Linked DNA regions of Saccharomyces cerevisiae S288C. The gene in region 1 interacts genetically with each later gene. Each region holds a gene or a part of one and is shown on either strand. Other genes may lie near its edges.

Region 1 (16,882 bases):
TATATCAATTCAGAAAATCGCTAGTATTCTCATGTCATGGATATTGATGCTGCGCCATTCCACAATACGAAAAATTTCATTTGGATACTTTTTTGGTACGTCAATAAGACGAGCGTTTATCTTAACTGATTTTGCTCAAATATATATTGGCAAGATAACCTTGCGAATAGGTTGGAAACCCGGAATTGTGTTTCATAATGTTGATTTGAAGTTATTTGGGAAGGACAGCCATATCACTGCACATTCAACTAAAGACTCCAGAACATATTTCAATCCGCGGGATCAAACTTTTACCTTTGTAATTAACAGGCGAGTCCTATCAATTTTGAAACTTGTGTTCTCATTTTCCACTTTCTTTCATACTTTAGCTCTTACAGTGCCTAATGGAAAACAATATAAATTAAATATCGGATCCATAACGATATCACACCCACACGATGATACCATAAAGTTAGAGGCATTTTTGCATGATTTTACCCATCCTGAAACGAAAGATACTTTGAACCATACTGGTTTTTTTATGGTCTGTAAAATTGGAAAGGAAGATGATACAGGCAGCAACTGCACAAAAGTTATACTAAAAAATTGGAAATCAAGTCTCAAAATAAGTGATGTTTGTTGGCATCTTCCAGAGAAGAAAGGGAAGAATTTGCATTCGGAGCCTGTTGAGCCTTTTTCTGCTGGTGATGATGCGGAAATGCTCACTTCATATCGTAAGATGCTAAAGCCTTTTCACTACCCACTGAAAACTTTGAACATTCTGGACCTTAAGGTAGAAAATGTAAAGTTGATTTACAAAAAAAAGTTTACAATTCGCATATCAAGTGCTCAACTTTACTTGGAATCAATCTCCATTCTAAATAATGTCTCCGCTTTGGAACTTTTACCCTTAAATAAGCCCACATGGGGCGATTTTGAACTATCACTTTCTGCAAATGCTGTTGTAGTAGATATCGATGGTAATACAGCAGTTAGAATTCCATTTGGAAATGTCATACTGACGTCAGATATTTTACTATTTTTACTTGACAATGTACCTTTACGGAGAACGAAGGTATCTTCCATTTTGAACATTATAAATCCTTCAGTATTCCTCACTATACATCAAGTACTGGAAGTTCTTCATTTAGTGGACAAATTCGATAGCCCTGAGACCTCATCATGTACTAACACAAACGACAGATCATTAAATATTTTAGATTTAGATATTGATCGATTGCCCAGTTTTAACTTTGAACTACTAATGTCGAATTTTATTTCAAGGCTGCATATATCAGATGAGGAGAATGTGACGTTTAAGGTCTTCAGCACACATGCTCTCTTTAGCCGTAACAACTTGTCTATGACTCCTAAAAAGGGACAAGTAATGCAAATACGTCCGGATTGGCCATTTGCGAAGACAGCCCTAGTATCTGATCAATTATCTAACTATATTAAAATTGTGGGTACATCACTCTCTTACCTGAGAATTCCAACAGAGCAGGACGCTAACCCAGTGTCTATACCAGTCTGTGGCTTTGAAAGATTAGACACATTTCTGGATGAATTTTCAAATTCTAAATTGATCGTTCAGTCTACACTAAGACATTCGTACGTTAGTCTTGAGAACATTGAAGTTTTGCATACTTTAAGTCGCGCCTTTGACAAAATTTACTTGCTAATATCTAGCAGAACAAAAAGGAATGCGGCTCATAAAGCGAATGGTGGAAAATTGGGGGACCTAAATGAAGCCAAGAAAACATTTAACTGGTCATTGAAACTTAGAATGAAGGATATTTCATGTTCGTTACTGGTCGCTGGGTTTCTTCCGAAAAATTTGGATCCTGTGGAAGCTGAGAATTTTAACTTATCTGACGTAACTAGAGGCGCCAAAGTTGTTTTTACAGAATCAATATTGTTAGCGGACAGCCAGGAGAAAAACTTCACTATTATTGATGCATCCGTATATCGTTTCATGGATGGCACTACGTATAAGCCCTCTCCTGAGGTTATTATTCAATTTACCAATTTGTTATTGAGTTTTAACGACTCAGATGAAATTCATTTTTCACTTCCCAAGATTAAATTTAAGATGGATGTAAATATTATCTGGTTGTGGTTTTATATTCGGAGTATATGGATAAAATTTCGTCCTAATTCAAAATTGAGCCGAAATTCAGTGAGCAGTGTAAAATCTGTCAATGTTCTCGATAGATTAAGAGTAGATATAGGAAAGATGATTATAGAGCTAACGCTTCCTCATAATACAGAGGTACTCCTAATATTCGAGAGGATTGGACTTTCAAGTTCCACTAAAAATCTTACAATTGCATCTTTGTCAGCGTACGTGGTATCGGTTTATGTGAAGCATATTAAGGTTTATGTTTCCTTGCTAAATATTAATGACTTTGAGCTAGACACTGAAGAGTTGATCTGCAAGAAATCCGCTGTTATAAACACCTCATTGATTCATTTTCATGCCGAATATCATTTTAGATTTTACATGATAACGGATAACATAGTCACGTTGTATAAATCGTTTAAGCAAATTAAATTGGCATTTTCCAATTTGAATGAATTTAAGCGATTATACCCTCAGCAACAGTTTCCGAAAAAAGTTCCAAATTTACATATTTGTTGCCAGGATTTTCTAATTGATATTGAAGAAGATCCTTTTGAGCAGGAGTTAGGATTAATTTTGAAAGTTGGTGTTTTGGAACAACGTGAGAGGTTAAAGAAGCTTGAAGAGTTCAAGGAAAAGCTATCAACATATGAGGACATGAATGTACGTTTAAGGTCGCTCTATGATACCTCCCGTGGACAAAGTTTTTTCCCAGAGTTTTATGCGAATGATCAAGAATATGAGCAAAAGGCCTATCTCAGGTTGTTAGAAAACTTTTCAACGTCATGGATTGCCAGATACAGGAAAGCAAAACTTTCTTTTTATGGTATGCCTTATCGGGTTATCAGCCGTGAAGAGCTTGGTACGAAATACCACTTGTTTACTAGACAGAAAACCAGTACTGTTGCTAACCTCGTCGTAAAAGATTTGGATTTTAAACTAGGCAGTCCTTCCTTCCCTTTAGACAATTATATGGATTTTGTTTACCAGTATGGAAAAAAAGTTCCAAAATCTACGGAGTACACTTTGCTAATTATTCTTGGCCTCAAAATCAAAAGCGCGTTATGGGAGTTGCGTCTGAGAGATTATCCAATACCTGCTATATCATTTCCCGACACATTTACAACAGGTGATGTTGTATTTGCTGAAAAGATGCCAGCACCTTGCGCGCTTCATACTGTTTATGTTCCTTTTGTCAGCTCTGCCCAAAGAAGCCCCTATAATGACGCCAATACAATATATGGTTTGCACATCATTCGTACAATTAATTCAGTCAAAACATATTTCAATATTAGGTCAATGGTTACATCTTCTTCATCTGCCAGAATAACATGGGGGAAATCTCTGCAACCCGGTTATGAGTCTTTGATGCTTTGGTTTGATTTTTTAACCAAACCTCTCATCGATCCGTCCAAAAAGCTAGGATTTTGGGACAAATTCAGATATTTAGTGCATGGGAAGTGGATATACGAGTTTTCAGAGGAAAGTGAGATCCACTTAAATATTAAAGGTTCACATGATCCTTATAAGATTACAGATGATGGTGCGGGTCTGGCGTTCTGCTGGTCTGGTGGCACCACAATTTACGTTCATAACTCCACGGATCCTAAAGAGTTTTTAAAAATTGAATCCCAAAGGTTTCAGTTGGCAGTGCCAGACTTTGCCAAAGTTAGTAAATTTGATAAAGTCTTTATGAAGCTCGATGGAAGAGTAATTTGGACATTAGGTTTACTTTTTGAACAAGGCGATATATCTAAGGCTGGTGACGAAGAGAGGTTCCTTCCAAATAGGCCACATTATGAAATACAGCTGATGAATCCAGATGGAGTCGCAGATTTGGATCACCATGATACATACAAAGGATTTAGAACATCTTTTATCCACATGTCATTTGGTGTCTATTCTTCTGAGCACGGATCCATAAATAGTCTCTATCTCGCACCTTACGCTTTAACACATTTCTTTAAGTGGTGGAATTTATTTCATACATATACATCTGGTCCTATTAGGCAAGGACGGTTATTTACGGATGTACTTCAAAACAAGACAAAGTTTGGTCGCTCATTATTTACAATAGCTTATCAGCTACATTTAAAACGGCTAATGGTTACGCATATTTATCGGCATATTACTACTCAATATGATCTTGAAAAAGACCGCAAAATAACTTTTACTGGATTGAAAGGGAGGTTTGATTCACTGAAAATTGATTTGCATCAAAAAAGAGTTAAACTGACCCATACGAACCAAAAATTAAATAAGTCAAAACCTGTATGGAAGTTTAAGATGTCTAGGGGTGAGATTGATTGTGCAGAAGCAGATATTAGGATATTATCAACTCTGTTTGATCAGGAAGCAGTTAAGGAAATTCTTACTTCTGGACTCGATGGCATACTTGAAGACGAGCCATCACGTCCTATTACGCCTCAAGATGTGGAATACTTGCGTGAATCAGATTGGTATGATTATGAGGATTATATAGACTTGAATCAAGTGCCGCTTGGTTCCTCACTTCCATTAAAATTAGAAGCAATACCATTGCTATACTCTCCTAGAATATCCTACTTTAGAAAAATAAATGATGATGGTTACGTACTAGCTTACCCATTTGGTACCGAAGAATCTCACAATTGTCTGATTGGCAAGAATCATCCAGAATTGACGCAGGAGAAATTAGCAACTGAAAGAAAACGAGAAATAGAAGAACAACTAAAATTATTACATATTACGTTAAGCGAATTGCAATCGAACAAAGGCGGAGGTTCGGTAAGTGGAAATTCGGAGCGCTATGCACGCGAATTAAAAGCAGAGGTAGCTGAATTAAACCACAGATTGCACACAGTCAACACCATCTTGAGCGATTTAAAAATCTCGGAGACTATTCCTGGAGGAAATACTGATGGTGATAGCTCCAGCTCACTCTCCGATACTGATGTAAATTTGGAAAATGCACCGCCAATTCAAAATAGAATATCGCTATTGAGGACCAATACCGTGGAGTCTTTTGTATCAATGAGAAAAGCCTCTACTATGCAGGTTGAGTCCACCTATGATAACCGTTTCATGGTCCATAATATCGAGTTAAAAATCGATAATAAAATCAGGCATCACCTTTTGGAATACGCTTCCAGTGCTTTCGAAAGGAAATCTATGAGGTTTGCTGTGACTTATAAATCCGTAACTATTTTAAAAGAATTACTGGGAAATGTGTTGACTGGGGTCAGAACATCTGTAGAAGATTATGGTTCAATACTTGAGGACGATTTAGCCAGTAATTCAGAATTTATTGAGCACTTTGAGAAACTCATCAGAGAAGTTCCGAGTGATGACTTTGATTATGTTGATAATTATCTTTTTAGACTAATCTCCCCTCAGGTTCAGATCAAATCGGACGTTGAAAGGAACGCAGCAGTTATTTTAGCTGCTAGGGATATAGAAATGGGAATAATTGATATAGTTCAAGTGTATGGAAAATCAGGAAAAAGAATTCCCGTTGACGTCGATACTATTGTTGAAACTCGCTATTCCGCTGTTTCAAAGGACATTCAGTTGTTTACATTGTTCAAAAAGGATTTAGAGGGTCCTGAAGGTAGATTTTTCCATAAAAATGGATATGGTTCCGACAAAGAGTCAGATATATGGCCCCCATGGATTCCTCTTGAAATGTGCTTTGACGGGTCTTTATTAGATAAGCATGTTTTTCTAAAACGGAGATCAATGTTTTTGACCTACGTCGCTCCCAATCCCCTATTTTTTAGTGCAAATGATACGTCTGCATTCTCTTATGATTCGAGATTTCGTATTGCATTTCCAGGATTGGTTCTGACCTCGGACTGTCAACAATACTGCGCTGTATATGCAATCGCAGAAGATTTACTTTCCTTTGGATCATCATTGGATGAAAAAGTTGAGAAACTTTCCAGGATATTATTTACTGATGAGGTCAGAAATAACCTGGAAAATCTTGATGTCTCTGTTGTCACAGCATTACAAGAAAGAATAAAGGAACTCTATTATACGCGAGCATACCTCAAACTTCACGAGCCAAGATTGTTTATGAAATCAGGACAAGAGCTAACCTTCGATATTCAAACTAGTACGTTGAAGTTGACGTTACTTATGACGGCAATCAAGAAAACTTACGACCGGATGGGGAGTGGTAATAGAGTAATACAGAAAAGATTGAGGTGGCAAGTTGGAACAGATGAATTGATATGGGAATTGTACGATGAGAGTAAAACTCCTTTCGTGACTATCGGATTGGGGCCCTCTACATTTATTCGTTCAGAAACTTCCGATGGCACTAATAGTAATAAAGTATCCATTTCTTCCTTACAATGTTTCAACCAGCAAGAAAATCCCGTTTACACTGAATTGCTGGCCCCCTTTTATGAAAATTCATCCTATAATAAGAACGCGCCAATGGTAGAAATTTTTTGGATCCTGGGGCCATCAGTTGGAGGTATTTCAGATCTGCAAGATTTGATTGTTTCTCTACAGCCATTGATTTTCAAGATGGATCACAAAACATCGGAAAAACTAATGAATTATCTATTTCCAAAGATAGAACAAACTTCCATAGAACCCAATTCTCCAGAACTTGTACCACGTTCTTCCACTAGTTCCTTCTTTTCATCGTCTCCAGTTTTACGGCACAGTCTTTCTAACGGTTCTTTATCTGTGTACGATGCGAAAGACGTTGACTCTTGGGACTTGCGTAGTATCCAGAGCAAAGAAGGTATCAAAAAGCATAAGGGTGATCATAGAAAATTGTCAGCATCACTTTTTGTGCAACCTGATTATAACATCAATGAAATGGTCAAAAGATCAGGGACATTTTTCAATGTAAAATCTATTATAATCCGAAAAACTCTAATGTCCGTGTGTTATAAGGGTTCACACAGCCTTTTGACCGATGTTAATAACCTGATTGTTAGAGTCCCTGTTTTAAAGTACCATAACAAACTGTGGTCGAGGGAAGAATTTTTTACTGCTTTGAAAAGAGACGTCGTAAGAATAGTTTTACAACATTTGGGAAATATTATTGGTAACAAATTTTTGCCTCATAAAAAAGAGAATAAGAAAAAAACTTCTATGGAAATACATCGATTACTAAGTCCAGATTCTCAAAATCGTGATAATTCACATATCCTTGAAGTCGAAGGGCATAATTCATTTTATAGCTCCACGCACTCTTCAGATATCAGATCAATAAACTCAGATGAAACGTATAATGAAAATGATGGAAATGGAGTAAAGCCATTTTACCCTGTTACGAGTGAGTTTTCAAAAAATAAATGAGGAAACACACACATGTGTCTAGCGTAAATATTCTTCAGTTATATAGTAATTGTATTATATACTAAAATGAAAATCAGTAAGATTTTTTTTTTACAGGCCTTCTTGGCGTTAGTTTTTCCGGTTTTTCACTTACTAAGATGAGATGATGGGGCGCACGGCCAAAGTATTCCCCATTCATCAATTTAGCATGCTAGAATAAAAAGATTAAGAGCAATATCTACGACCGACAAAGTGATCTATCAAACTGCTGACAAAAAATGTCGTTGGAAGCCATCGTCTTTGATAGATCGGAGCCAGAAAATGTTTCGGTAAAGGTACTTGATCAATTACTTTTACCATATACTACTAAATACGTTCCAATTCACACAATTGATGATGGGTACTCAGTCATCAAAAGTATGCAGGTGAGAGGTGCCCCGGCAATTGCAATTGTGGGTTCGTTATCTGTTTTGACTGAGGTACAATTAATAAAACACAACCCAACTTCTGATGTTGCTACGCTGTATTCTTTAGTTAACTGGGAATCTACAAAAACAGTGCTAAATAAGAGGCTAGATTTCCTTTTGAGTAGTAGACCCACAGCCGTTAATTTATCAAATTCTCTTGTAGAGATAAAGAACATACTGAAATCCTCAAGTGACCTAAAGGCTTTTGACGGTAGTTTATATAATTACGTCTGTGAATTGATAGATGAGGATTTGGCGAATAACATGAAAATGGGTGATAATGGAGCTAAGTATTTGATTGACGTGTTACAAAAGGACGGTTTCAAGGACGAATTTGCCGTTCTGACGATTTGTAATACTGGATCCTTAGCAACCTCTGGATATGGCACGGCTTTAGGTGTTATCCGTTCTTTGTGGAAGGATTCACTTGCTAAAACCGACAAGGCAGACTCGGGATTGGACAATGAAAAATGCCCGAGGATGGGCCATGTCTTCCCACTGGAAACTAGACCTTATAATCAAGGGTCAAGGCTAACAGCATACGAGCTAGTTTATGATAAGATTCCATCAACTTTAATTACTGATAGTTCCATCGCGTATAGAATTAGAACTAGTCCAATTCCAATCAAAGCAGCATTTGTTGGAGCTGATAGAATTGTTCGTAATGGGGATACAGCAAATAAAATTGGTACTTTACAACTTGCTGTAATTTGTAAGCAGTTCGGAATTAAGTTTTTTGTAGTAGCTCCCAAAACAACTATCGATAATGTAACCGAAACTGGCGATGACATTATTGTGGAAGAACGTAACCCTGAGGAATTCAAGGTTGTTACTGGTACAGTAATTAATCCTGAAAATGGTTCCTTGATATTGAATGAGTCAGGAGAGCCAATCACTGGAAAGGTCGGTATTGCCCCTCTTGAAATCAATGTCTGGAATCCAGCCTTCGACATTACTCCACATGAGCTTATTGACGGAATTATCACAGAAGAAGGTGTATTTACCAAAAATTCCAGTGGTGAATTTCAACTGGAAAGCCTTTTCTAGATATCATTCTAATTAGACTCTCGAAATAATTACTTTTGTACTGTAAAGGATAAAATTTCATATTGAGATGTAAGAATTATTTTTTTTTTTCATTCAATAAAAGGAACACATTAATGTATATTGTCAGAACCTTGTAAGTCCAAAACACTATAACCAACTGATACAATATGTATTGTCTTTGTTTCTGCATATTTGTAAAACGTGCAAAAAAGTAAAGAACTCCTCATAGGGGGCTCGAACCCCTGACATTTCGGTATCCTTGCTTAAGCAAATGCGCTTAAAAGCCGAACGCTCTACCAACTGAGCTAACAAGGATGAGTTCTTCGGAGCGTGTTGTATCTCAAAATGAGATATGTCAGTATGACAATACGTCATCCTGAACGTTCATAAAACACATATGAAACAACCTTATAACAAAACGAACAACATGAGACAAAACCCGTCCTTCCCTAGCTGAACTACCCAAAAGTATAAATGCCTGAACAATTAGTTTAGATCCGAGATTCCGCGTTTCCACCACTTAGTATGATTCATATTTTATATAGTATATAAGATAAGTAACATTCCGTGAATTAATCTGATAAACTGTTTTAACAACTGGTTACTTCCCTAAGACTGTTTATATTAGGATTGTCAAGACACTCCGGTATTACTCGAGCCCGTAATACAACAGAGCGTCCTTAATAAATATTTCTATAAATATTTGATGTTTACCTTCCGAAAAAGGTACATTGCCAACCTTATTTGATAAATGTGTAAACTAAGATAAGTGTTGAGATCGGATTTTGATAAAGGCATTTGTTTGGGGTGTATGAGTTGGGAAAAGAAACAACAATCATCTCTTGACCAGTTTTCCTACTACTAGTGTGTTATCATATAGCGTAAGAGTATGACATAGAGATTGAGAAACAGAAACTGAATCATAACGAACATCACAGAATTTACATTTCTACACAATTTTCAGAAAAAGTGGAGTGGTGATATATGCTTATTGTTCTACAAGTTCTCTTCATGCGTTTTTGTTTATCTATCTTATTGAATTATTATCTTCATGCATTTATACTTATTAAATTCGATGAACATTTCATATTATTTTTATATGCTTCATAATTCATGTTACTACGATCTATACAGAGTATTATCGTAATGTCTTACCTTTAGCTTGTCACTTAACACATGCACTGCATTTCGAAAAGATGCTTAAGCAAGTTTATCATAATTTGGGAGTGTTCGGTGAATTTATACAGAAAGCCCCTCCAACGTCTTATTGATAATGTATATTTAGTTCATTTACCAAAATACTATCAATTCATCAACCTCCAAGTGGTTTTGACTAAACAGCCCACAATTGACATATGTGACTGCTAAGCAGACCTTTCTTGAAGTAAATTTCAGGGAAACTAAGCTACGGCCTTTCCAAAATATGGGCAGGAACTGCTTAATCCTTTCCTTTTATTAGATAAGCACTTTAGTATTTTTGTTTTTCATGGCCTTATCCTACGTTATTGTCGTGAAAGAAATGGCAGAAATTTCTGTTGTACATAAATTACTAACTGCCTTACCTTGAAAACGGTTTTATTACAAAAATAGGGGTCAAGTGTTTTGTTATCCCTGTTGTTGTTGTTTTATAAGTCCTAATCTCGCTTGAATATCGCCCATATTCACACCCTGTTCTTGACCGTCTACTAAGGTGCCTTAGGGGGACTCAAACTTAAGATCGCCTTCTACGCGTTTTATGCTATGATCATTAGTGTTGATGCATCGGAAGTTTAAAAATTAAGTGCGAGTGCATTAGCACAGTGGAATTATTAGAATGACCACTACTCCTTCTAATCAAACACGCGGAAATAGCCGCCAAAAGACAGATTTTATTCCAAATGCGGGTAACTATTTGTATAATATGTTTACATATTGAGCCCGTTTAGGAAAGTGCAAGTTCAAGGCACTAATCAAAAAAGGAGATTTGTAAATATAGCGACCGAATCAGGAAAAGGTCAACAACGAAGTTCGCGATATGGATGAACTTCGGTGCCTGTCCCTCGAGGAAATAGCAAACTCGTTACAGCTAGCATCTCATAGCATGGGCATAGAGTTTCAGAAATTTTGCTCTTAATGGAAAATATAACCTCTTTGGGGAAAAGAGAAATAGATCCTTTCTCAAAAATTTAGAAAGGAAAAAAAATCAAAATATAATAAAATAGATTTTTTTTAGGTTAATTTTTTGCCAATTTAGCTAGACTTTTGAAAAGATCCAAAAATTTACTAAAATTGAATCTTTCTGGTATTAATTTTGTCCTATACCTCAAGAAGTAAAGTATTCTCGAATTGATACTTCTGAAAAGCGAAAGAAATATAGCTAAAGGATACTGGTTATTTATTCTTTCTTTTTTTCTTTCTTTTTGATTGAGCCAGTGTATAATAAAAACCTACTGCGAGCTATTCAATAAATTGACATAGAATATCTGTTGAAGCGGTTCTTTGATTGAGCATCTGTTTTCCTTTTGTATTTTTGTCCTTTTAGATTCTTTTAACGACATTGGAGAAATTTTAATCATTGTATAAAAACTTCATTCGCTCGTTTGTCAGAAGTTTTTTTATAACTTGCTATTTCCTTCCAAGAAGCCTTTTATTGATTACCCCCTCTCTCTCTTCATTGATCTTATAGATGTCCAACCCAATAGAAAACACAGAAAACTCACAGAATACTAGTTCATCAAGGTTTTTGAGGAATGTACAAAGGTTGGCCTTAAACAATGTAACAAATACGACATTTCAAAAGAGTAATGCGAATAATCCAGCCCTAACAAATTTCAAATCTACACTAAACTCAGTAAAGAAGGAGGGAAGTCGGATTCCTCAATTTACTAGAGAAAGCGTATCAAGATCAACAGCCGCACAAGAGGAGAAAAGAACCCTGAAAGAAAATGGTATCCAACTCCCCAAAAACAATCTTTTAGATGATAAAGAAAACCAAGACCCAAGTAGTCAGCAATTTGGTGCGCTAACTTCTATAAAGGAGGGGAGAGCTGAGCTGCCTGCAAATATAAGTTTACAAGAATCCTCCTCAGCGAAGGAGATAATCCAGCATGATCCCCTAAAAGGCGTTGGATCAAGCACTGAGGTAGTCCATAACTCGGTAGAAAACGAAAAACTTCATCCAGCTAGAAGTCAACTTCAAGTTAGAAATACCGAAAGTGAAACTGATAGTGGAAAAAAAAGACCAATTTCTACAATTGTTGAACAAGAACTGCCCAAAAAGTTTAAAGTGTGCGATGAAAATGGCAAAGAAGAATATGAATGGGAAGACCTAGATGCAGAAGATGTAAATGATCCATTCATGGTCAGCGAGTACGTCAATGATATATTCGAATATCTCCACCAACTAGAGGTCATTACTCTTCCAAAGAAGGAAGATCTCTATCAGCATAGAAATATTCATCAAAATCGAGATATCCTAGTTAATTGGTTGGTTAAAATCCATAATAAATTCGGCTTATTACCGGAGACTTTGTATCTTGCCATTAACATAATGGACAGGTTTTTAGGTAAAGAGCTAGTTCAACTGGATAAGTTACAATTGGTTGGCACATCATGCCTTTTCATTGCCTCTAAATATGAAGAGGTCTATTCTCCTAGTATAAAACATTTCGCATCAGAGACAGACGGTGCATGTACGGAAGATGAAATCAAAGAAGGGGAGAAATTCATTTTAAAGACATTGAAATTTAACCTAAATTATCCCAATCCGATGAATTTTCTGAGAAGAATTTCGAAAGCAGATGACTACGATATACAGTCTCGAACTCTTGCCAAATTCTTATTAGAGATATCATTGGTAGATTTCAGATTTATTGGGATACTACCCTCATTGTGTGCAGCAGCTGCGATGTTTATGTCGAGAAAAATGTTAGGTAAAGGTAAATGGGATGGAAATCTAATACACTATAGCGGCGGGTATACTAAAGAAGAACTTGCGCCCGTGTGTCACATGATAATGGATTATCTAGTGAGTCCAATTGTTCATGATGAATTTCATAGAAAATATCAATCTAGAAGATTTATGAAAGCTTCTATAATTTCCGTCCAATGGGCTTTAAAGGTTAGAAAAAACGGCTATGATATAATGACCTTGCATGAATGAGAAGAGGGGCAGATGCTTAAAATATCTAAAACGATAATCGATAAATGTCCATATAAAATGTATGGCTGCTTTTTAATCATTTCTTTTCACATTTCCATTTATTCTTACAAATTTCACACCCAATTTTAGCGCCTTTCATTCTGTTATTTTTAAACTGACGATAAAAAATCATTCGAAGCCTAAGATTTCCAAAATAAAACTCCATTTTTATTCTCACTAATAACACCACACCATTAATTTTAATTTTTTAATTTTAATTTCAGATTTGTACCATAAGTTTTATTCTATTTCAGTTCAACCGTTTCCGGATGCATGTAGCGAGGGTAGACAAAGAAAAGCATCAGTATCGGATGTTGATATTATGGGAAATATCATAACCTTAGTCTCTTAAAAAATGCTGCTTTCTTCTCATTTTTCATTTCTTTTAAAATTATTTCAGTATAGTTATTATAATTAACATTGGAATAACATTAATAATAATAATTTTTTAATAGTAATAATGATAATAATAATAATAAAAATAAAAGAATAAATTTAAAAACAAAAAAAATTCTAATATTAATGATGATAATAGTAGTAATACTGGTGGTATTATATATGTTGAAGTGAACACGCATATCACTATAAACTATATATACATATATATAGATAGATAGATAGATGCAAAAAATTTTTTCCTTTTAGTTCAGCAAAAAGAAAAGAAAATGTAAAGAGTATGCGAATTCATGAGCATTACTAGTACTAATCTACTTAAGATTAAATAGATTTTGAAAGTTGCTATGCATTTCGGATGTACACCACTTGAAAGTTTGGAAATAAACAGAGCCATACCTTGGTTTCTTGTACTTCAAAATCAATGAATCTAAATGAGTTTTGGAACTAGCGATGTCTTTGACTAGATCAATGCAGAGAGACTGAAACGCTTCATCGTGTATTGGATCGATACCACCACTGTAATGCTGTAGTGTTCCATTCCATAGCTCGTTCTTGTTTCTGTTGGTCATTCTTCTCGCTATATACATTGCCATTGCGCTTACGGTAGATGGAGGTAAATGAATGAATTGGTGGCAGCAGTAGGCATACTCTAAAATAAACTTACCAATATTTCTATTAACCGGATCGTAATCATCTGCCTTGGAGATCCTCCTTAGGAAATTGAGTGGGTTGGGCCAACCAATGTTGAATTCTAAGGAAGTGAGCATGAACATTTCCGCATTTTTTATGTCGTTTTTAGAAGCCGCGCCGTCAGTGATATAAGCGTATTCAGCTAGTTTGGGCAAATTTACCTCTTCAAATTTTGCCGCGATGAAAAGTGAGGTAACTGCCAATAATTGTAACTTGTTCATCGTAACTTTATTTTTAGCTAAAAATCTATCCATTAAGTTTATGGATAGGAATAACGTTTCCGGATAGCATTGAAATTTTTCGTGCACCTCTACCAGCCAATCCACTAATATTGTTCTCATGGAAGGCCTCAAATAATACTTGGACGTTTTGTCGAGTAAATAGTTGTGCGATGGTAACGTTTCTAATTCTCTTCTATATAAAAATGCAAAAATTTCAGCAGAATATTCTGCTACCATTGCAGTATCATCTTTTTCAACATAATCTAGGTCCTGCCAGCCTACTATTTCACTCACTCCTTCAGCGTCTATTCTGCGTTTTTTGTTCACTATCGAAGCAGCATCATCATCTTCTCCTTCTTCTTCTTCTTCTTCTTCTTGCTCTGCTGCCGTTCGATCGTTATATATCTGTCTTTTTTGAACGGCGCTAACAATAGGTCTAATGTTTTCTTCTCTTCGTACTTTGGCCGCCTTGCTCCCTGCTACTATTCTCTTGTTCTGGCTTAAAGGATTATTGTTCACTGGTACATCTGTTAAAGCCCTTCTTGGTTTAGAATCCTGAACCTGCTGCTTACTAGAGCTGTCATTTTTTGAAAGGGCCCTTTTATTTTGAAGAATCTTTAGGTTTGAATTGCACAACTGCCTCTCATTTTCATTATAAATCATAGAATTTCTTTTAATACTCTGCTCATGGTCGTGGTTCTCTCCCATTGTTCAGTAAAGGTGTTCAGCGGCTTTAAATACAGGGAAAAGCGCGTTACTGCTAATTATTAAGCTTATTTTGCTTTGTGTGAGACAACTAATTGGCCGTGAAAAGCTTTAGGTGATTGAGTCTCTTGAAGTACAAAGACAAAAAGACTTCAATAGATAGACAGAAAAAAAACTTTTCTTGAGAAGCTTAAGAATTAGTTCCAAGTAGCTTCTAATAAACCGATGAACGCAAATGAAGTTCCCTTCGCGGTAGATGGCAGTAGCTATCGGCAGTCACTAGGAAAAGTGAGTTTAGCACAGATATGCTGTGGGCGCTATCCCAATGTGGGCAAAGCGCGTGAACATCACGACGCGCCTTCCCGTTAAATTTTGTACCATCAAGGGCGCGTCTTCACTCGAGATGCGCGTTCTTTTGCTGGTTCTTTTCACTGAGGGCACAGAATATGATACCCACAGTATGACAAGTTTTAATCGAGATAGTTTGACGTTCGTTTTTTACTTTGAATATACTCGTAGTCTTTTTACTTTTTGAGTATAAAAAAAAAATGACTAGCAAAATAAAATTAGTAGTCTAAAAAAGAAAGCTCGCACTCAGGATCGAACTAAGGACCAACAGATTTGCAATCTGCTGCGCTACCACTGCGCCATACGAGCTTTTGAATTATGGTAATTTTGATTATCCTAGAATGTTATATCTCAATATCTCAATATATTTTGGACATCTATGAAACACCCATAAAGCAGCCGCTACCAAACAGACAAGATTCAGTATGTAAGGTAAATACCTTTTTGCACAGTTAAACTACCCAAACTTATTAAAGCTTGATAAATTACTGAAATTCCACCTTTCAGTTAGATTCAGGCCTCATATAGATTAGATATAGGGTACGTAACATTCTGTCAACCAAGTTGTTGGAATGAAAGTCTAAAATGTCATCTATTCGGTAGCACTCATGTTACTAGTATACTGTCACATGCGGTGTAACGTGGGGACATAAAACAGACATCAAATATAATGGAAGCTGAAATGCAAAGATCGATAATGTAATAGGAATGAAACATATAAAACGAAAGGAGAAGTAATGGTAATATTAGTATGTAGAAATACCGATTCAATTTTGGGGATTCTTATATTCTCGAGAGAATTTCTAGTATAATCTGTATACATAATATTATAGGCTTTACCAACAATGGAATTTCGACAATTATCATATTATTCACCAATTAATCACAAGTTGGTAATGAGTTTGATAACAAGTTACTTTCTTAACAACGTTAGTATCGTCAAAACACTCGGTTTTACTCGAGCTTGTAGCACAATAATACCGTGTAGAGTTCTGTATTGTTCTTCTTAGTGCTTGTATATGCTCATCCCGACCTTCCATTTTTTTTTTCTTGGAATCAGTACATAGCAGGTATGAGTTGTTAGAGCTGTTACAAGTTACGGTAAACATTTCAACACACCGTTATTTAACGAATTTATTTGAGAAAGTGGTGTATTTTAAGATATATGTTTGGTTTCGATTGTTGGCAAAGACTATAATATTATGCATATAGGATATACCAAAAATTCTCTCTGAGGATATAGGAATCTACAAAATGAATCTACATTTCATTTTATTACGTCATATATGAATACTAGTCAATAGATGATAGTTAATTTTTATTCTAGCATATATTTAAGTTTGTTTGCGAAACCCTATGCTCTGTTGTTCGGATTTGAAATTTTAAAACTACATTAATGTGTTAGTTTTTCTTTCTTTCTTTCTTTGTCTTGACGTGATTTGGACTT
Region 2 (15,028 bases), on another chromosome or scaffold:
TCCACTTCGTTGGTTGTGCTTGCAACTACAATGGCCTTCGACTCTGGTTCAATTTCAAAGAGGGCTAAAAGAAGCTTCAGTGCTTCTTCGGGCTGTGATTCCACTTTCTTCCAAATTTTATGAACATGCCCTAAAGGCACCTCGGATTTCTCCTTGATTAGATTAAACATCCGTGTTGGATAGCTGGATAGACCTCTGCTGAGATCTTCCGACCGTTTGAGCTCGTTGATGTCCATCGACTTCTTGGCCAGTCCCGTAAGCCCAATACGCTGCAACGCAGCATCAGCTACAGCCTCAGGTGCTGTGCCGCTCAAAAAGATTGCTTTCTCAAAAGCGTCAAAATCAAGGTTAGTTATGCCCCCAAATTGCGACTGCCGGTAGACCTCCGTTTCAAAGTTGTGAAACTCATCTACAATGAGGTAACCCAATTTTACGTTGTTGGTCCTAAAGGTGCACTCAACAATATTCTCCCACGCAGCTATCCTGTCTGTGAAATTAGTGCTAGCAAGATCATCGTAGATCCCCACGTATAAATCAGTAACGCCATCGCAACCTTCTTCAATAAAGTTTCTTACAGGGGCCACATTCAAGCAACCGCATCGGCCCAACCTGATCATGCAATTAGCAAGCAACACTGTGTACGGTACAAACAGAAACGACACATATTTCACGTCGCCCTTAGACGCCAGTGCTATCAAGGGGAGATGAAATAACTCCGTCTTACCATAGCCCGGTGGGGCCTGTACTGCCACAGAGGGTGTGTCTGCCATGTATATTTCATGACATAAGCGCAACTGATGCAAGTCCCTGAATTCAAAGGAGCTGCCAAAGAGTTTCTGGCCTGCGACGAGGATATCGTTTGTACTCTTGGGCTCTCGGGGCCTTTTTCGCGTTACTCTTGAAATTTTTTGATCATGATCTGAACTCGCCGCCTCACCTGCCACTACGTCTTCCGCATTCCGAGTACTAGAGAATGAACAATGGTAGTCGCTTTCAAGGCCTAACCATTGAATCCAGCGCTCGGAAGTGAGTCCGTCAAGCGTCTTTAGTCGAGGCTCCGATGAACCGTTCTTGTTGTATCGTCGACGTATACGTTGCGCTGTAGCTCTGGATAACGGTAAGCGTATCACCGTAAGCTCGTCAATTATTTTTGAGAGCCGCGGTCATTTTGTTAGTATCTCTTCTCAACTTGGGCAGCACACATGCAAAACATCACCCAATCGGTCCTTTTTGTTCATCATATCGTTACATATCTGTGAAAAGTACTTTATCTCAATGGGTTTACGTGGGCATAGATCACGCTTCAGCCGCTCTGTGTCGACTTTCTTTTCGCCAGGTAAACTTGCTTGGTATGCAGAAAAAATCGATAGCTCATCTACGTGTAGTAACAAAAACATGTGGGGTGCCAAATTGTACCCATATCTCCTTATGGTGCTTTTCTGAAGACTCCTTACAATAGGTGCGCCAGAAACAAAGTCAGTGAAAGTACGCATCGTAGAGCTGTCGTTCGGCCTGGCACTCGCTATTTCGTGACAACGTTCCAGGACACGGAAACTCAACTCATTATAGTATCCTCTGTTGAGGTAAAAAAGAGAAAGGGTATCGTAATCCTTTCTATTGAATTTCAAAGTATGCACTTGAAACAACGTGTAGACCATCAAGTTGATTTTCTTGGGAATAAGATACTTTGAAGGGATTGGTCCGCCCTGGAAATCTGGTTCGTCTTCAACAAACGTCAGGAACTTTTGTACATTTTTCCCGACCATGACGGAAACGACAATTTTTTCAAAAGACCTTTTCCTATCCATTGCACCAGTTCTGAATTTTACCACTTTGATTAGGCCAGACTTTTCGTCTTCGTAGAATGACCGCACTTCCGTGGGGATCGATTCAAATAAAGTTATTGAGGGACAATGTACCAAGTCGTTTTTGTTATTTAGAGCCGACTCAAACTCGTCAAAGTTTGCTTTTTCAAACTTACGCCTATCGGAAACTTTCATTTTATTTTTGTAAGTTTCGAAATTAACAATAGTATGTTGATTGTTATGCTTTTTGACAAGAAATCCATCAATATAAACAAAAGATTGTCCAGTTTCCGTCTTATCATCATCTAAGAATGTAATAATTAAGCTACTCTATTGAGAAGAAGCAGAATCTGCGCTATGCAGGTGCAAATCTCCAGCAGCAGCAAAGAAAATTCAGTTAATAAGAAATCTCACTAAGATAAGCGACTGTCTGTCCCAACATAGAAAACAGAAGGATGTCTCATTCATCCTTGATTTCCGGCCTGCAAAAATAAAGTAGTCGGTACGTACGTTCGTTTTCAATTTCCATGGTGCACAGTATCTTAACTATCTGCTTAGTCGAGGAGAACCAGGATTCTGTTCGTTGCTCAGCCGCTTCGTGGATATTCTCTTGGATACTTTAAATATGGACCTACGCTTAGCCTGCGCTTAGCCTACAACTTCTTCCGCTCTCGAAAAGACCAATATAATAGAAAGTTATAAATTACATTTCCTTATTAGGTATACGACCTCGCGCTTCGAAGTAGAGGAGCCCTTTTTGGCGTACCTACATATGGCGCGTCAGACAGACAAACTTCCCCCAAAAATGTATTACCCTGCCGAATAAGAAAACAGACCCATTCACCCACGACGTATCAAGTTACTTCCTTGGTGCAATGTCCCACTATAAAAAAATTCCTTGACGCTAGATCGTTGGACTAAAATCTGCGTCACAATCGCCTAAACAGGAAATATTGCCTATTTTCGTACAAGGTTACTTCCTAGATGCTATATGTCCCTACGGCCTTGTCTAACACCATCCAGCATGCAATACAGTGACATATATATACACCACACCCACACACCACACCCACACCACACCCACACCCACACACACCACACACCCACACACTCTCTTACATCTACCTTTACTCTCGCTGTCACACCTTACCCGGCTTTCTGACCGAAATTAAAAAAAATGAAAATGAAACCCTCTTCTTTAGCCCTACAACACTTTTACATAGCCCTAAGTAGCCCTCATGTACGTCTCCTCCAAGCCCTGTTGTCTCTTACCCGGATGTTCAACCAAAAGCTACTTACTACCTTTATTTTATGTTTACTTTTTATAGATTGTCTTTTTATCCTACTCTTTCCCACTTGTCTCTCGCTACTGCCGTGCAACAAACACTAAATCAAAACAGTGAAATACTACTACATCAAAACGCATATTCCCTAGAAAAAAAAATTTCTTACAATATACTATACTACACAATACATAATCACTGACTTTCGTAACAACAATTTCCTTCACTCTCCAACTTCTCTGCTCGAATCTCTACATAGTAATATTATATCAAATCTACCGTCTGGAACATCATCGCTATCCAGCTCTTTGTGAACCGCTACCATCAGCATGTACAGCGGTACCCTCGTGTTATCTGCAGCGAGAACTTCAACGTTTGCCAAATCAACCCAATGTGGTAACAACCACACCTCCGAAATCTGCTCCAAAAGATATTCCAGTTTCTGCCGAAATGTTTTATTGTAGAACAGCCCTATCAGCATCGACAGGAATGCCGTCCAATGCGGCACTTTAGATGGGGTAACTCCCAGCGCAAGCTGATCTCGCAAGTGCATTCCTAGACTTAATTCATATCTGCTCCTCAACTGTCGATGATGCCTGCTAAACTGCAGCTTGACGTACTGCGGACCCTGCAGTCCAGCGCTCGTCATGGAACGCAAACGCTGAAAAACTCCAACTTTCTCGAGCGCTTCCACAAAGACCGTATCGTCTTTTGCCTCCCATTCTTCCCGGCACTTTTTCTCGTCCCAGTTCAAAAAGTACTGCAGCACCTCTGTCTTCGATTCACGCAAGTTGCTCCATACTTTATAATACAACTCTTTGATCTGCCTTCCAGACATGCGGAAAACTTGGCTCCCTTGCTTGCCTCTTGTCGAATCCAATACACTAATTGTTTCTCTTCTTCTAGTAATGGCCAGGTACCAAGCATAATTTCTCTGTATCTGAGAGTAGATCTCTCCCCTTTTTACGCTAAAAAATTTCAAATACCCTACAGGGTCCCCATGATATGGCTCGATGTCTTCCAAGTATTCTTTGTATTCCTCGTCATTTCGCAGCATTCTCTCCACAGCTAGTGCTTCCCAAGCCATCCTCCGATACGATACTTTCTGGCCAGCCCAACAGACACAGAGCCCGAACATCTTTTGACAGCCCTTGCATAATCCGTATTGTGTGAATACTCCCTCTGGGCAGAAGTATATGTCAATACCATAGAGGAAAAGATGTTTAATTTCGTCAGACCGAAATCCAAGAAACTGTAAGACATTCATATTCTCGGAAGTATTGGGAAATTGTGCTTTCAGTTTCTTTCTCTCTAGCAAAACCATTTGACTCCCTTTCCGCTTATACGACTCTTTGTTAATGTCGGTGACTGGATGGAATCTATTATCCTCAGCATTGCCATCTTTATTGGCGTCCTCCTTGGCACTAGCGTTGGTACTTTCAGTGGTAGTGGCATTAGTGCTGGAGTTGGTGCTAGCAGTGGTAGTGGCATTAGTGCTGGAGTTGGTGCTAGCAGTGGTAGTAGCACTAGTGTTGGAGTCGGTACTTTCGGTGGTAGTAGCACTAGTGTTGGAGTCGGTACTTTCGGTGGTAGTAGCACTAGTGTTGGAGTTGGTACTTTCAGTGGTAGTCGCACTAGTCCTGACGTTGATGCTGGCAGTGGTAGTAGCACTAGTCCTGACGTTGGTGCTGGCAGTGGTAGTAGCATTAGTGCTGGAGTTGGTACTTTCAGTGGTAGTCGCACTAGTCCTGACGTTGATGCTGGCAGTGGTAGTAGCACTAGTCCTGACGTTGGTGCTGGCAGTGGTAGTAGCATTAGTGCTGGAGTTGGTAGTCGCATTGGTACTGGCATTAGCACTACCATGAATGCACGTGTTGCTGTCCTCATCACTGCTGCAATACTTTCTGCACCTGTCACTGCTATTGCTCTCCTGGAAGCTAGACGGTAACGCAACGATCGACATGGAAGCTGTCGCCTGTTTTTCAGCCAATCTGTCCATTCTTTCTATCAGTTCCACTGTGTCAGCAGACAGGTCTGTCCTGGAGCCACAGCATCCAACATGCTGGCCCTTTTTTCCTTTCTTTGATTCAAGTCCATAGAACTCGCGTACCTGTTCGGTTATACAGCCTTCCTTAATCGGTGGTAATTCACCCTTACGATTCCTTGCCGCCCAACTGTTTTTTCTAGATAATAGATAACAGAGGCCCCCATCTCTTAGTCTCCCTACGCCTTGAATGAGCTCAATAATATTAAGTCTATTATCAAGCATGATCACCATCATCAATTGCTTAATGTCAATTCCTTCAGTCACTAATTTCGTTCCGATGAGAACTCGCATGCTACCGTCAGTGACAAACTCCTTTGTGCGAGACACCTTTTCTGCAGCACCCAGCTTCCCGTGTATCCATACCACCCTAAAATACTTTCTCCAAGAGCAGGCCAATTCTTCCACTTCGTTGGTTGTGCTTGCAACTACAATGGCCTTCGACTCTGGTTCAATTTCAAAGAGGGCTAAAAGAAGCTTCAGTGCTTCTTCGGGCTGTGATTCCACTTTCTTCCAAATTTTATGAACATGCCCTAAAGGCACCTCGGATTTCTCCTTGATTAGATTAAACATCCGTGTTGGATAGCTGGATAGACCTCTGCTGAGATCTTCCGACCGTTTGAGCTCGTTGATGTCCATCGACTTCTTGGCCAGTCCCGTAAGCCCAATACGCTGCAACGCAGCATCAGCTACAGCCTCAGGTGCTGTGCCGCTCAAAAAGATTGCTTTCTCAAAAGCGTCAAAATCAAGGTTAGTTATGCCCCCAAATTGCGACTGCCGGTAGACCTCCGTTTCAAAGTTGTGAAACTCATCTACAATGAGGTAACCCAATTTTACGTTGTTGGTCCTAAAGGTGCACTCAACAATATTCTCCCACGCAGCTATCCTGTCTGTGAAATTAGTGCTAGCAAGATCATCGTAGATCCCCACGTATAAATCAGTAACGCCATCGCAACCTTCTTCAATAAAGTTTCTTACAGGGGCCACATTCAAGCAACCGCATCGGCCCAACCTGATCATGCAATTAGCAAGCAACACTGTGTACGGTACAAACAGAAACGACACATATTTCACGTCGCCCTTAGACGCCAGTGCTATCAAGGGGAGATGAAATAACTCCGTCTTACCATAGCCCGGTGGGGCCTGTACTGCCACAGAGGGTGTGTCTGCCATGTATATTTCATGACATAAGCGCAACTGATGCAAGTCCCTGAATTCAAAGGAGCTGCCAAAGAGTTTCTGGCCTGCGACGAGGATATCGTTTGTACTCTTGGGCTCTCGGGGCCTTTTTCGCGTTACTCTTGAAATTTTTTGATCATGATCTGAACTCGCCGCCTCACCTGCCACTACGTCTTCCGCATTCCGAGTACTAGAGAATGAACAATGGTAGTCGCTTTCAAGGCCTAACCATTGAATCCAGCGCTCGGAAGTGAGTCCGTCAAGCGTCTTTAGTCGAGGCTCCGATGAACCGTTCTTGTTGTATCGTCGACGTATACGTTGCGCTGTAGCTCTGGATAACGGTAAGCGTATCACCGTAAGCTCGTCAATTATTTTTGAGAGCCGCGGTCATTTTGTTAGTATCTCTTCTCAACTTGGGCAGCACACATGCAAAACATCACCCAATCGGTCCTTTTTGTTCATCATATCGTTACATATCTGTGAAAAGTACTTTATCTCAATGGGTTTACGTGGGCATAGATCACGCTTCAGCCGCTCTGTGTCGACTTTCTTTTCGCCAGGTAAACTTGCTTGGTATGCAGAAAAAATCGATAGCTCATCTACGTGTAGTAACAAAAACATGTGGGGTGCCAAATTGTACCCATATCTCCTTATGGTGCTTTTCTGAAGACTCCTTACAATAGGTGCGCCAGAAACAAAGTCAGTGAAAGTACGCATCGTAGAGCTGTCGTTCGGCCTGGCACTCGCTATTTCGTGACAACGTTCCAGGACACGGAAACTCAACTCATTATAGTATCCTCTGTTGAGGTAAAAAAGAGAAAGGGTATCGTAATCCTTTCTATTGAATTTCAAAGTATGCACTTGAAACAACGTGTAGACCATCAAGTTGATTTTCTTGGGAATAAGATACTTTGAAGGGATTGGTCCGCCCTGGAAATCTGGTTCGTCTTCAACAAACGTCAGGAACTTTTGTACATTTTTCCCGACCATGACGGAAACGACAATTTTTTCAAAAGACCTTTTCCTATCCATTGCACCAGTTCTGAATTTTACCACTTTGATTAGGCCAGACTTTTCGTCTTCGTAGAATGACCGCACTTCCGTGGGGATCGATTCAAATAAAGTTATTGAGGGACAATGTACCAAGTCGTTTTTGTTATTTAGAGCCGACTCAAACTCGTCAAAGTTTGCTTTTTCAAACTTACGCCTATCGGAAACTTTCATTTTATTTTTGTAAGTTTCGAAATTAACAATAGTATGTTGATTGTTATGCTTTTTGACAAGAAATCCATCAATATAAACAAAAGATTGTCCAGTTTCCGTCTTATCATCATCTAAGAATGTAATAATTAAGCTACTCTATTGAGAAGAAGCAGAATCTGCGCTATGCAGGTGCAAATCTCCAGCAGCAGCAAAGAAAATTCAGTTAATAAGAAATCTCACTAAGATAAGCGACTGTCTGTCCCAACATAGAAAACAGAAGGATGTCTCATTCATCCTTGATTTCCGGCCTGCAAAAATAAAGTAGTCGGTACGTACGTTCGTTTTCAATTTCCATGGTGCACAGTATCTTAACTATCTGCTTAGTCGAGGAGAACCAGGATTCTGTTCGTTGCTCAGCCGCTTCGTGGATATTCTCTTGGATACTTTAAATATGGACCTACGCTTAGCCTGCGCTTAGCCTACAACTTCTTCCGCTCTCGAAAAGACCAATATAATAGAAAGTTATAAATTACATTTCCTTATTAGGTATACGACCTCGCGCTTCGAAGTAGAGGAGCCCTTTTTGGCGTACCTACATATGGCGCGTCAGACAGACAAACTTCCCCCAAAAATGTATTACCCTGCCGAATAAGAAAACAGACCCATTCACCCACGACGTATCAAGTTACTTCCTTGGTGCAATGTCCCACTATAAAAAAATTCCTTGACGCTAGATCGTTGGACTAAAATCTGCGTCACAATCGCCTAAACAGGAAATATTGCCTATTTTCGTACAAGGTTACTTCCTAGATGCTATATGTCCCTACGGCCTTGTCTAACACCATCCAGCATGCAATACAGTGACATATATATACACCACACCCACACACCACACCCACACACACACACCCACACCCACACCCACACACACACACCCACACACACCACACCCACACACCACACCCACACCCACACCACACCCACACACCCACACCCACACACCCACACCACACCCACACCCACACACACCCACACAGTACCTCAACACAACCCCTAATCCAACCCTGATGAACCTGCCTCCAAACCTACCCTCCATTACCCTACCTCTCCACTCGTTACCCTGTCTCATTCAACCGTACCACTCCCAACCACCATCCATCTCTCTACTTACCACTAACCACCGTCCACCATAACCGTTACCCTCCAATTACCCATATCCAACTCCACTACCGCTTACCCTACCATCGACGATGTCCTACTCACTGTACTGTTGTTCACCCACCATATTGAAACGTCTACAAATGATCGTAAATAATACACATATACTTATCCTACCACTCTAATCCCACTACCACATGCCATACTCACCTTCACTTGTATACTGATATGGCATATGCACACGGATGCTACAGTATATACCACTCTCAAACTTACCCTACTCTCACATTCCACTCCATCACCCATCTCTCACCATCAGTACCAAATGCACTCGCATCATTATGCACGGCACTTGCCTCAGCGGTTTATACCCTGTGCCATTTACCCATAAAGTCCATCATTATCCACATTTTAATATCTATATCTCATTCGGCGACCCCAAATATTGTATAACTGCCCTTAATACATACGTTATACCACTTTTGCACCATATACTAACCACTCAATTTATACACACTTATTTCAATATACCCACAAAATCACCACCAAAATCACCTAAACATAAAAATTATTTATCTTTCAACTTTACGAAATAAACATATTGACTTGAAGTATGAGCACTACCATAACGTCATTAACGTAAAAGTTCCTTAATATTACCATTTGCTTGAACGGATGCCATTTCAGAATATTTCTAACTTTCACAGACCATACATTAGAATAATATGCCACCTCACTGTCGTAACACTCTATATTCACCGAGAAACAATACGGTAGTGGCTCAAACTCATGCCGGCGCTATGATAAAATTGTATCCTATTTCCATTCCCATATGCTAACCGCAATATCCTAAAAGGATAACTGATGCATCTTTAATCTTGTATGTGACACTACTCATACGAAGAGACTATATCTAAAGAAGACGATACGGTGATAGGTTTGTTGTTTTTGTAGGAGTCAACGAAACGCCAAATAATTCTACGGTAATATAACTTATCAGCGCCGTATACTAAAACGGACGTTACGATATTGTCTCACTTCATCTTACCACCCTCTATCTTATTGTTGATAAAACACTAACCCCTCAGCTTTATTTCTAGTTACAGTTACACAAAAACTATCGCAACCCAGAAATTTTGATATTTTAAGTGTCAAAAATGAGGGTCTCTAAATGAGAGTCTGGTACCATGACTTGTAACTCGCACTGCCCTGATCTGCAATCTTGTTCTTAGAAGTGACGCATATTCTATACGGCCCGACGCGACGCGCCAAAAAATGAAAAAAGAAGCAGCGACTCATTTTTATGGAAGGACAAAGTGCTGCGAAGTCATACGCTTCCAATTTCATTGTTGTTTATTGGGCATACTCTGTTAGCTTTATTTCCGTCCACGCTTTTTCTACAATAGTGTAAAAGTTTCTTTCTTATGTTTATCGTATTCATGAAATACTTCACGAACACCGTCATTGATCAAATAGGTCTATAATATTAATATACATTTATATAATCAACGGTATTTATATCATCAAAAAAAGTAGTTTCTTATTTTATTTTTTCATTACTTTTCACTGTCTATGGATTTTCATTCGTAAAGGCATCACTCCCTAGTTTGCGATAGTGTAGATACCGTCCTTGGATAGAGCCTTGGAGATAGCTGGCTTTAATCTGGTGGAGTACCATGGGACACCGGTTATCATTCTGGTCACTTGGTCTGGGGCAATACCAGTCAACATGGTGGTGAAGTCACCGTAGTTGAAAACGGCTTCAGCAACTTCGACTGGGTAGGTTTCAGTTGGGTGGGCGGCTTGGAACATGTAGTATTGGGCCAAGTGAGCTCTGATATCAGAGACGTAGACACCCAATTCAACCAAGTTGACTCTTTCGTCAGATTGAGCTAGAGTGGTGGTTGCGGAAGCAGTAGCAGCGATGGCGGCAACACCAGCAGCGATTGAAGTTAATTTGACCATTGTATTTGTTTTGTTTGTTAGTGCTGATGTAATCTTAACAAGAAATAGTGAAATGAAAGCGCATACCTCAAAGGCATATAGTTGAAGCAGCTCTATTTATACCCGTTCCTCCATCTGTCATCACTACTTAAACGATTCGTTAACAGACGCTCATTTAGCACCTCACATATTCTCCATATCTCATCTTTCACACAATCTCATTATCTCTATGGAGATGCTCTTGTTTCTGAACGAATCGTACATCTTTCATAGGTTTCGTATGTGGAGTATTGTTTTATGGCACTCATGTGTATTCGTATGCGCAGAATGTGGGAATGCCAATTATAGGGGTGCCGGGGTGCCTTGAAAAACCCTTTTGCGCGCGCCTGTGACATTTCCTTTTTCGGTCAAAAAGAATATCCGAATTTTAGATTTGGACCCTCGTACAGAAGCTTATTGTTAAAGCCCATACTCAGTCTGTTCTAAACGGCTTCCATGGAAGAAAAATAACTATATTATAGCTTTCCTAAAAGTTTAATTAAGAATAGCAGACATGTGTTGGGAGTCGTATATTGTTAGAATCTGTAGTTTTAGGTGTTCTCAGTAAATTCATTGAAACAATTGCGTACTTGTAGGCTTCTGAGAAGCAGATAGTAGTCAAATAGTTGATATCTAAAGAGCTGCCGAAGGGGGTTTCTGTATCCGCGTAAGTAATTTTTTGAAATTTTAATGTGATTTTTGGCGGAATGGTGTGAGTGGTTCACTTCTCATCTTCAATTTCATCGTCTTATATTTCGATAATAAAACAATACAGTGAGCGTTGTTATTAAGTAAATCATAGGCACTTGGTATCATATAATTCAAAATCAAGTAGTTGTAGTAGTGCGTGTGTGCGTGTTAGTAATTGTTGATGGCCTAGTTCATCTCCTTATTGAAAAATGATAAACAGGTGGCAGTTTCAATTGTAGTAAATATTTATTCATTTTTTTATTATTGCTAACGTATCTGAAGGCTACGATGTAACGCAGCTCATCTCTTTTAAACATAAAAGTCATTTGTGTAATGTAGAGATTTACAAAGATTTTAAAAAAATAACAAAACTATACAAAACTATCTATATTTGAATACTTCCTACTATTTTTTTTTTTTTAACTATAATGAATGAATGCATGCCATATTGACTTACGTAACAAGGTGGCCTATTGGTAATATATTACATATCATCATCCTATATGTGTAGCATAATTTGTCCATTCTTTATCCGCATTCAGGCACTCCCAATCTTTATCTCTAAGGCAAAGAGCAACCACCATTTCACCTCTGGAGGATCTAGGCATAAAATATATTAGGCTCTCAAGGGAAATGAAGCGCGGCCGTCGTACACTCTTGGGCTTCCCAAGCCCTAGATTGAAATCAACGTCATACAGGCTGACTTTTGCCCACGAACTGACCATAATTCCAGATAAAGTATCAATTGGTTGAGGTATAGAAACCTTAGTCTTGTCCGGGCATCGGCTAAGGAGCGTAGCAAGTGCGCATGTATTATAGGCCAAATCGAAGACTTTAGGGTCTAGCTTCCTGCGAATCTGTGATGCAAGAACGCCCAAACTTTTATGATCCAAGCTTTTCAGGGAACCTGTATTAAAGGTCATGTTGACTAATAACCCTGGATACGTTTCGGGGAGTCCTAGCCGTTTTCTAACATCCACAGCACGCCCTAAATTTGATTTCGTTTCTGGTTTAAGTCGAGATAAACGGGCTCGAGAAACTGATTTCCAGATGAAAGCAGTGACGATATCATCAGTGGAGACAAATTTTGTGCCAGAAGTACATGTCTGCATTGCCAAAATCCTCAGATTCTGCAATGAGATAGCAGAAAATTCAACATAAGCCCAAGTAGAGTTCGAAGAACAAGACTGTTCCTTTTCCTCTCCACTTGTATTTCTAGAGGTTTCCACTATTTCATGAACTAGCGTGGTGTCGGGTTCCCAAGTTTCATCAAACAAAGGAATAGATTTGCTTTTATCTATATTTCCAATGAGCAGTTCTTCATCAGAGAAAGGTTTTTGGTGGCAAGATTTATTGAGCAAGTTGATGATACTTTCCTGTCCTGTTATATCCATAATATTGTGCTGCCCGACAATAGTTAAGACGAGGCCGCCGGAGATAAAGTTTGCTTGAACTGCAAATACAGGCCCACTCTTGGCGGCCATACCTATAGTGTTTCCAGGTGGATTGATAGTCATGCAAGGCGCAAAAGTCTTTTCGTCTAACATGTAGATAGGAAAGTCAGCTTTTTCAAGCGAATCCATTGTTGGGGCAGACAGATCTTCTCGAAGATCTTGGACGATAAGTGGAATTTTGTCTGACGGGACAATTCTGTAGGTACCAGTGTTACCTTCGTCAGCACCTTCATTTACGACATTTCCTGCTAGCCACTGGAAATTTTTAGCCAATGTTTCAAGTCCTCTTGTTAAGGTATTTACGATATGGTCATGAGCAGAAGGATCTGGTACACGGTAGATAGAGCATATTTGAGTGTATAGTTTGTATAGCGAAGGTTGTTGTCCCAAAATATCAAGTTGATCGTTTTCTAGCATCTGTACACTTTTTGTACGTTTCTGAGAGATGATCTTGACTCTAAACATCCATCTACCTTCAAAGTGAAATTTATAGTCACGTCCGTCATTATGCACGTCTTAAACATTAAAATCTTGATAAATACACTGTAAAAGCTTTAACGTTATTGGAATAGAAACTCTCATCACTCAGAGACCATCAGTTACCTGCAAAACGTTTCATATTTGTATATAAACCATGAGATTAAGTGGTCTGAAATTATGTATCATTTTTTGCATTCTAGCATGCCACAGCAAGGGGGTACACGTATTTTTTGATGGTGAATAAGATAGAAATGCATACCGTGATACTTCAAGCTGGCACTATCTTTATATCTTCCTCCGTATATAGCACTTGAAGCTCTGTATCTAGAATATCCTCTTTAGTCCGGGACGTGCCTCCAAATACTTACGGATTGGCGAAAAATATGCACTGAAATGTGTGCAAATTAACCAAAATAGGGCAGGCAGTAAAAAGTTCTAATGATTTTTCTATTTGATCAAGATAAAATAACCTTCTGCTGAGGACCGCACATTGACGTATATACACTGCTTTTAGTTTTGTAGATACAAGATATTTGTTAAAAGAAATTGAATTAGGAGTATTTATCTACAGCTGATGCAATTTCGGCGATATCTTTAGGAGACGTTCTACAACAACCGCCAATAATGCGCGCACCATTATCAACGAATTTCTTAACCGTGGTCTCCCAGTCATCCAACTTATTAGTCGGCCGGTGCCATGTCTTCTCTTTGGGATTGTAGATTTCTCCACTGTTTGGGTAAACTAGCAGAGGCATGCCAGGTAGATGCTCGTGCAACATTTTAAGAATTAATGCCGATTGATTGAAACTGACACAGTTAACTCCCATTAATAAGAGATTCTTGTTAATTTTATTTCCGAGGCCTTTTATATGGACAGAAATTTCTTCCAAAGTGGTACCGTCTCGTAGCAAACTATTGTCATCCACCGACAACCCAATATAAAAGGGCTTCGAAATAATATCTTCATCCCAGGATAAAATAGCCTTTAACTCATGAAAATTTGGAATCGTTTCAAAACCAATAAGATCAATATCTCTATTTTGGTTGAAGTTCTCCAGCTGGGGTTTGAAAAAGCCGTAGTAATCAATATTCTCAGGATGGGGACCATAGTCACCAGTATATTCACAGGATACATGTGCTGCCCATGGGCCAATACTCCCGATTAAGTACCTTTCCTCACCAATAAATTCACGAGTAAATGACACGATTTTATCGAGAAAACGCTTGTAAGCAGCCAGAGTTTTAATCGAGGTATTCTCAGATATGCTTTGAAAGTTTGCCTGGTAAGTAATTGTCATTAATATGTTTGCGCCAGCAATCATAAAGTCTCTGTACATTTCTTCTACCACCTTTCGCTCTTGAGAAGATGGCTCCCAAAAGGATTCGCTCGTAAAAGGAGCTGCAGACCATACCGGACTATTTATGTTAATGCCTCTGTTTTCCAATTCTGTACCCTGTCCACCATCAAGGATAAGAACTTTTCCGGGGTGCTCAACTATTAGTTCTTTGATTGGAATGCGCTTCATCTGTTTTTTGATTACTTTTTCAAGTTGCACACTAAAAGTTGCTGATTCAGATTTCTTCTACAACTTGTCTGTTTAAATTATCTTCCTTAGTAGTACATTTTCAAATTGGCGTTGTTGCTGTTTTGCTATTACCATTGAATACCTCGCCACAATTTGGTAGTACTTTCATGCCACAGTTTTTACTTTTCCACAGTTCCTGCAGGAATGGCTTTTTTTCATTAAC

What was found.
Region 2: mutations in MRI1 (region 1) and AYT1 together harm fitness more than expected from each alone (negative genetic interaction), as found in Saccharomyces cerevisiae (one large-scale study listed by BioGRID).

Annotation. Positions count from the first base shown.
Region 1 is NC_001148.4:760,093-776,974, forward strand, and holds MRI1 (S-methyl-5-thioribose-1-phosphate isomerase MRI1), read left to right. Parts: upstream 1-7,659; coding exon 7,660-8,895; downstream 8,896-16,882. Other genes in the region: HOB2 (Hob2p), read left to right, coding at 1-7,402; B-type cyclin CLB2, read left to right, coding at 11,561-13,036; B-type cyclin CLB5, read right to left, coding at 13,783-15,090. UniProt on the Saccharomyces cerevisiae protein: Catalyzes the interconversion of methylthioribose-1-phosphate (MTR-1-P) into methylthioribulose-1-phosphate (MTRu-1-P).
Region 2 is NC_001144.5:2,809-17,836, forward strand, and holds AYT1 (acetyltransferase), read right to left. Parts: upstream 13,265-15,028; coding exon 11,840-13,264; downstream 1-11,839. Other genes in the region: YLL067C (Y' element ATP-dependent helicase), read right to left, coding at 1-1,107, 1,207-1,493; YLL066W-B (uncharacterized protein), read left to right, coding at 2,797-2,967; YLL066C (Y' element ATP-dependent helicase), read right to left, coding at 3,312-6,642, 6,742-7,028; seripauperin PAU18, read right to left, coding at 10,275-10,637; S-adenosylmethionine-homocysteine S-methyltransferase MHT1, read right to left, coding at 13,831-14,805.